Arabidopsis thaliana: one gene and its partner. The protein of the gene in region 1 interacts with the protein of each later gene in a biochemical or structural test. Each region holds a gene or a part of one and is shown in the gene's direction. Other genes may lie near its edges. The genes, in order: AT1G48150 and MPK10.

Evidence for each region.
Region 2: of the proteins of AT1G48150 (region 1) and MPK10, one has a biochemical effect on the other in vitro, tested with the Arabidopsis thaliana proteins (one large-scale study listed by BioGRID).

Annotation. Positions count from the first base shown.
Region 1 is NC_003070.9:17,783,277-17,786,868, forward strand, and holds AT1G48150 (MADS-box transcription factor family protein), read left to right. Parts: upstream 1-2,120; coding exon 2,121-3,092; downstream 3,093-3,592. Other genes in the region: DPMS3 (dolichol-phosphate mannosyltransferase-like protein), read left to right, coding at 126-227, 325-432, 579-638; AT1G48145 (plant mobile domain protein), read right to left, coding at 1,231-1,536, 1,590-1,637; AT1G48160 (signal recognition particle 19 kDa protein, putative / SRP19), read right to left, coding at 3,503-3,592.
Region 2 is NC_003074.8:22,090,468-22,094,903, forward strand, and holds MPK10 (MAP kinase 10), read left to right. Parts: upstream 1-1,932; 5' UTR 1,933-1,980; coding exon 1,981-2,204; intron 2,205-2,476; coding exon 2,477-2,606; intron 2,607-2,696; coding exon 2,697-2,834; intron 2,835-2,917; coding exon 2,918-3,250; intron 3,251-3,342; coding exon 3,343-3,523; intron 3,524-3,597; coding exon 3,598-3,773; 3' UTR 3,774-3,936; downstream 3,937-4,436. Other genes in the region: AT3G59800 (stress response protein), read right to left, coding at 4,130-4,318, 4,412-4,436.

The DNA of each region.
Region 1 (3,592 bases):
TTAGGCTCGCTGAGTGATTTCTTTTACATGCTCTACAACTTCTTGGAGAATGCTGTGATCGTCTATGCATTTCTATTCGCAGCTAACTTAAACTCTTTTACATAATTTTTTACTTTAAAGGACAAATGAAGCATATAGTAAAGATCTTGAGCCTGTTGGTGGCTATCTCTGCCTTCTGGATTGGTCTTTTGCAGGCTGCAATTATTCCTCGAAGCCATACATGGTTGGTGAGTAACAAACAATTTTGTCCTCTTTTTTGGTTTCTTGCTTTTTTGAAATTAGGATTCTGTTCTGATTTGGTATTATTGCCGGTCTGTCTTACAGCTACCGATCTACTTTGTTGTATCCCTCGGATGCTATGGCCTATTAATGGTTGGAGTCGGGCTCATGCAGTTTCCTACTTGCCCCCAAGAAGCAGTTCTGCTGCAGAAGGTACTTTTGAGACTAGCTCTTTGTTTGCCATAGTCGGCCTTGTTCTTATTTTTCATCCTGCTCTATACGGATTCGTGTTATCTAATGTTGACATCCTTCAATATTTTTGCTAATTTAGTGTCTTTTATCTGTTTCTTTGGTTGCAGGATATTGCAGAGGCTAAGGACTTCTTCAAGCACAAAGGGGTAGATGTTGGATCGAATTGACACAAAGGCTTTTATCAGACCATTCATCAGAGATATTTTTCGTTATTGACAAAAGACTTAACTGTACTGTTTGGAATTTTTGAATTTAACAGTGTCACTGAGGTAAAACGCAAAAGCTTCGTATGCATCCAAAAGTAATCGCAAAAGTATAACAAATATTCCAAATTGCAGAAACTTATTAGTAACAATAGAAGCATTTACATTTTCTTGTGGTGAATTACCATAAAGCTTTGGCCTTTGTGTCTAGTAAGTTCTCCAGGTATGCAAAAGAGATCGCATCAACAGATTGAATCAGGCTATCCTCTGTACGAAAACTCTGATATGCAACACACCAAGAAGGTATTAAGTCGCTCATAACTGAGTAGGTTTCAAAAGATACAAATGAAACATTTGGAACCAAACCAGTTTTTAAAAGATACTAAGCAGGAAAATCAAAAGACACTGAACCAAAAAGATCATAAAGATATGACTTTGATATTCAACTTGCATTTGCCTTCTCCTTTCTTTATCTGTCCACAACAACACCTAATTCAAACCAGCTGCTTTTCTGTGTGTTTATGGCTCTCCTTTCGTTCAACCATGCCACAGTTCTTTATGCCTTAAGAATACGCTCCTCTATCGACAATGCTAGCACATTCAGCTCTTGAAATCTCTTATCAGTCTTGTCATTGTTATCAACATCACCTTCACCAAAATCATTGTTTCCCTTTTCAGAGTACTGCTCATTGGATTTCATAGTTTCTTCACTTCTGATGCTATCATCATGAAGCAAACAACAATCCTGTCCCTCATTTCCATCCCCTACAGCGATGTGAATGTTTGACTCATCAGATGACTTCAGAACCTTATGCTTATATGCTTTTCTTGTTTCATCTCCATTCGTGCATCCAGAAGCAAACTTTTTATGAGGGCTAGATTTTTTTTGTTGTTGTCTGCCTTTAATGCTAGCACCTTCTCATGCATTGATCCTTCCATCAGCATCTTCCTTCTCTGCTTCATTACATCAAACACTTTGGTTCGAGCTTGAGCTCTCCTCTGCTGACCCTTCAACAACTTTGTTGGAGCTTTTTTTTTGTGTTTGATCTTTTCTTCTTACTGTTTATGGTTGTTTGTCTGATATTGTTGTTGTTGTTTTGGTTAAGGAGGATGTGGGTGCTTGTGTTGTATTACTCTCCAAGTACGATCCTGTTTTTCTTCTTCTTTTCTCTTCTCTCATGCATAATCTGATTCTGAATTTATAGTGTTTGTGTTGATATTTGATGATAACAGTTGTGATTAGATGCAATAATCTTGATGATCTTAATGAAAATGTTTGTTTGGTAAAAATTAAAAAAATTAAGTTTGACCGAGTCACATGATAATACCGACATTAGTATTATCTAATCTCTATATATTTGTGCTTTGCCTCTACTCTCTTTTCACTCTCTCTTTTTCTCTCGATTCCATTATCTCTCTCTGTAAGACACAAAACAAACCCTAATAATGCAGTCGTCGAACGTAACTGATTGCACAATGAGGAAAAGAGGAACAAAAAGAAAGATTGAAATTGAGAAACGCATGACTAAACAACAACGATCCGTCGCTTGCAGCAAACGCCGTCCCACACTCTTCTCCAAAGCGGCTGATCTTTGCCTTCTCTCCGGAGCCAACATAGCCGTTTTTGTAACTTCTCCTGACGAGAACTCCGATGTCGTTTATTCATTCTCGGGCTACTCTCATGCCTCTGAAATTGTTGACTGTTACCTCAACAACAAGTCTCCTCCCAAGACTACTATTAACCCTGAATCAGCCAAGTTTTGGTGGGAAGAGCCCGATCTTTACCGTGATTGTGACGATCTGTCTGAGTTAAGAATCATCGAAGATCGTTTGATGAGAACGAAGAAGCATCTCATGGATTATCTTGAGAAGAAAGAAAAATCACACTCTGTTTCTAAATCCGATCAAAACCCTAACAACGACAGTGGGTCTTCTTCTTCGTCTTCTCAAATTGCTTCTGATTTTGGTCAAAACCCTAGTACCTTGTCTCCGTCTTCCTTAAAAATTGTTTCTTTTGATCAGAACTCTTACTCCTCACTTGAGCCTTCGTCACAAGTTACTACTTGTTTTGATCAAAACCCTGTTTTCTCTGTTGGCAGCGAGTCATCATCTGATCAATCTCGTTACTTGGTGAATGAAGATTCTGGATTTGTTGACGGCCTCTTATGTGAAACAGAGGAAGAGAATAACGGAATGCGTCTTCCCCAAGAAACACAAACACAACCGATGTTCACAGAGGAGGATCAGAGCTTTTGGGAAAACCTAGATGTCGACGACGTGTTTGGTCTTTTTAAGGACGACAACAATCTTGAGGTTCCTCTTCAAGATCATTCCTCAACCAACGAAGACGACGAGTTATTGATCGACATAAGTGAATACTTAAGCGAAGAAGCAATGGAATGCCCATGTTTTAGTTAGTTCTCACAGCTTGATTAAGCACGATCTCATAGTTAATTACGGTTTTAGTTAGTTCATTAGGTAATTACCATTTATGTTGTTGTGTGTAACGATCTATAGATATCTGTTTTATCTCAACTCTTTTGATTCTGTAATTTCGATTTTGGTTATGGCTGTGGTTAGTGAGACTAATTGTGGTGAATTACAATATCTTTATGTTCCCTTTTTAGGCATTCTTTCTTGTCTAATGTCAATGGATGATGCCAAAAAGAAGAAGTAGAATGGTGAAAACAAAGTAGCTTAGGGTTGAAAGAGACGATGTTCTATTTGAAACATTGTTACACCTGCAAACACCTTTGTGTTCTTCTCAGAAAGTTAAAGAGATTAAAAGCCATAAAATCTGATGAGAGAGAGGGAGGGCTTGGCTTGTTTTATCTCTTCTTCTTGCCACCTTTGCCTGACTTTGAAGAAGTTCCAGAGGTTGAAGTTGTGGCCTGAGGTTCCTGCTTCTTCGCTTTCTG
Region 2 (4,436 bases), on another chromosome or scaffold:
GCAAATTTAGAACTAGCTAAATTGGGTCAAAAGTTATAGGTTACACGTAAAATTATTACAGCAATTTCTCCCCTAATAACTTTGGGCTTTAGGCCCAATAACAGAAGGCCTTAAAGTGGCATACTTAGGGTTTAGTGAAAAAGCAATCGTCATCCTTGACTCAGGGGTCAGGTCAAATCCAGGAGAAGAAGAGGTAATCATTCTACACAGATAGAAACATTTATTTTTTGTTTAATCAAAAGCTAACATTTTGTTGTGACAGTTCTCGTGTTTTCTTAATATAGATGGCAAGACTGATAATCGTGCCAGAATCCGTCTTATTAATCAAGACAAGAACAAATACAACACTCCAAAGTATCGGTTTGTTGTTAGATTTGTATCCTTTTAATTAGTTCATCACATTCCCAGTTGTTAGTGGTGTCTGTTTACATTCTTCCTATCGAGTTTTGTTTGGCCTTGAATGTGAGGAAAGCTAACTTGATTGACCGTATTCGTACACTTCACTCAGCTGCTGAAGCCATATCAATGAAGTTGACGACGAGTGAAAACGTTTCTTCTCTTTAAAAAACTGTATTTCCATCTAGTTTTGATCTTACTTTCGTGGCTTTGAATTTTTACTTTTCATATAGCATCGTTATATTACTCTTTACCTAATTTCCCTACTGTACTTGTGAATTTTCCCGTCGACGTATGTGCAAGTTACTAATTTTATGCAAGTTGTGAATTTGCAAGCGTTTTAATTTCTAAACGAAAGAATACTAATCAGAAACTTAGAAAATTTGACAAGATTAACTAAACATTGTATATGTCTATCGACCACTACTACATTATTTCAATGTGTAAGCATATTTTTTATCATTTAAAATGAAAAACAGAATGGACAATGATAAATCAACGAACGACATTAGCAGAAGTGTGTGGTGTTTCTATTTATCAGCACAAATAGAAAACAATGATAAAATACAGAAGTGGTGATGCAGTGGATTTATCATTTGATTGCTGGACTGTCATTTTTGTTATTAAATCTTATGAACTTTATTTTTTTCTTATAAATATATTATATATAACACATTTAACTAAATTAGATCTCATAAATTTGTTGTAGATTTTTTTTTTTTTTTTGCTATTCCCAGCAATCTACTTAAAAACGAATCCCATCATCACCCAAACATGCTAAGTGTAGCAGAAGGGATAATATTTTGTAGGTAAGGAAACAAATATTTTATTAACCTGTAAATAAAAAATGAAAACCAATTATACACATATTTAAAAACTACCAAACTTAGTATAGTATTATTTTTTTTAAAAAAAATTATAATAACAAAATAATAATAATAATAAATGGTAAGACTTATTTTGAATTATGTTTATTAATAATATTTTTGAGGTTTCTTTGTAAGTGATGGTGATTACATAGAAACTTCATATCAAATATCTATATATTTTAAAATTTCAAGTAAATTGATTTTTCAAAAAATATTATTCTATACTAAATTTAAAGTATATGAAAATACAGAAAATTGTTTACAAAAATGAACACAAATTAGGAAATGAATATGAAGAGTATGTATCCAAATTGTATTGCCATGTTTGCATTTAATTTAAGAGGGTGTATGAAAAGCAAAAAATCTTCTTCTAACAACTTACCTAAAATCATCTCACTTATACACTTCCATAAATTAATTAGTTTTTTTGTATTCATTAGCTGGAAATATATTAAGATTATTTAGTTTTTTTTTTTCCATATGGAAAAGGAAATTCACAGCAGAATTCCTATAAGTTAAAAAAACTTACCTTAAAACTATCAAAATATATCAAAACTCATATCTCCTGGGTCCTCCTGGACCTGGACTTAAACATCCATACTTACACATATCCACTCTATATAAGTTTAGTTCACTACCACTAAACCCAACCAAAGCAAAAACATCACTTCTCTCAACAGAATAGTTTGAGGTTGTGTGAGACAAAAAGAAAACCATGGAGCCAACTAACGATGCTGAGACATTGGAAACTCAAGGAGAGGTTACAACCGCTATTTGGCCGTCATCTCAAATCCTCAAGACGACTATCGATATTCCGGGGACTCTCAGCCATGACGGCAGATACATCCAGTACAATCTATTTGGGCATATCTTTGAACTCCCCGCAAAGTATAAGCCACCGATTAGGCCTATTGGCAGAGGTGCTTGTGGCATCGTTTGGTAATATCCTTTTAACAGAATTAATAGTTTCATTTCTTTTCCTAATCATTTTGAGCACTTTAGAATGTAGATGCCATGACCATTTTTGTGTGTAATTTATGGTTTGGGTTGATAAGTTTCATCTTTTTATGAGAAAAGTTCAAATCGTTTCTATCATAGAGATCTCTAAACAGTTATTATACCATTCATGACTTTTATGTTATTCTTGTTACTTTTAAAATTTCCTCACTTGACACATTAGTTTTTACTTTTCTTTTTAACTTTTTTTACAGTTCGGCTGTGGACTCCGAGACCAATGAGAAGGTAGCAATAAAGAAAATAACGCAAGTATTTGATAACACTATCGAAGCAAAGAGAACTCTTCGTGAAATCAAGCTTCTTCGTCACTTCGATCATGAGAATGTTCGTTTGATTTTATAACTATTGTCTCACCTTTTTTCTTTTATTTTGTTATTCATTAAAAGCTAACTATGTAATATCATTTTTCTATAGATTGTTGCAATCAGAGACGTAATCTTGCCTCCTCAGAGAGATTCATTCGAAGATGTTTACATTGTGAATGAATTGATGGAGTTTGACCTTTATCGAACCTTAAAATCAGATCAAGAACTAACCAAAGATCATGGCATGGTGTGTGTTTAGAGTTATTGTTTCTTGAAACTTAAAAATCATTTTGATTAGTGAGCTTGACACAATCTTCAAATTTTTGGCAGTATTTCATGTACCAAATCCTGCGCGGATTAAAGTACATTCATTCAGCCAATGTGCTACACAGAGATCTAAAACCAAGCAATCTCCTCTTGAGTACACAATGTGACTTAAAGATTTGTGATTTCGGGCTCGCTCGTGCAACTCCTGAGAGTAATTTAATGACTGAGTATGTTGTCACAAGATGGTACCGTGCACCTGAGCTTCTGTTGGGCTCTTCTGACTATACCGCAGCAATAGATGTTTGGTCTGTTGGCTGTATTTTCATGGAAATAATGAACCGTGAACCGCTCTTCCCGGGGAAAGATCAAGTTAATCAGCTTCGTTTGCTTCTGGAGGTAGTAAAGTAAAACCCTTTGTTGTGCCAAGATCATATTCGTTTTTTGTGATTCATGATTAGCTTAAAAAGTCTTGGGACATTGTTTTGCAGCTCATTGGCACTCCATCTGAAGAAGAGCTTGGATCGTTGAGTGAATACGCTAAGCGATACATAAGGCAGCTTCCTACGCTTCCTCGCCAATCTTTCACTGAGAAATTCCCGAACGTGCCTCCCTTAGCAATAGACTTGGTGGAGAAGATGCTAACATTTGATCCTAAACAGAGAATCTCAGGTCAGTTTCTGTCTCCATATAGCCTCTTCTGCAGTTTTATTTGGATTCTTATCATCAGTTTTGCCACTTTGCAGTTAAAGAAGCACTTGCTCATCCATACCTTAGCTCGTTTCACGACATTACCGATGAACCAGAGTGCTCAGAGCCCTTCAATTTCGATTTAGATGAACATCCATTCTCTGAGGAGCAGTTTAGAGAGTTAATCTACTGTGAAGCCCTAGCTTTCAACCCTGAAACCAGCAATGATTGAAAAGGACCATATCTTTGATCCTTGTTCTGTTTTTTTCTTTTCCTTCTCTGCTTTTCTTTGAATAATTTCCCTTTTCATTTCCTTTAATTTTTTCATCTCTCAGAAATTTTGTTGTGCTAAGATTTTCTGCTAGATTCCCTTTTGATGTTGTCAAATTTCATTTTTAAGCAAATAAACTGAAAAACCATGATTCTGTGGGCATCATTGCGACTTTCAATCCAACAAATATTAATACATGAGCTATTGTCAAAAATATAACATTGCAACAAGGAAGAAAGCAATCATATCCTACTTTGAGTATTTTGATTGAAGACAATCTTACTCTTTGTAATAGTTCATTTGCAGTTTTGCTTTTGTCAATTCTTCAAATTGCCAAAGAATCTAGAGAGTGGTACAGGGCCATCGGTTTCGTGTTTACTTTTGCTAGAGTGTTTGTCTCTGCTGGACTTGTGCTTCTTCTCCTTCTTTGATCTTTTCGAACTTGATCTTGATCTTCTAGATTCATCTTCATCACTGCTAGATGACGACTCTGAGGACGAATAATGCTGCAAATTCATAACACAACCGATCATGGTTCATGTTAGCATAAGCTAGAAAACCTCACACTATCTGATATAAGCTAAACTTTTAGAAGGCACCTTTCTCTTTTTGCTTTTCTTCTTC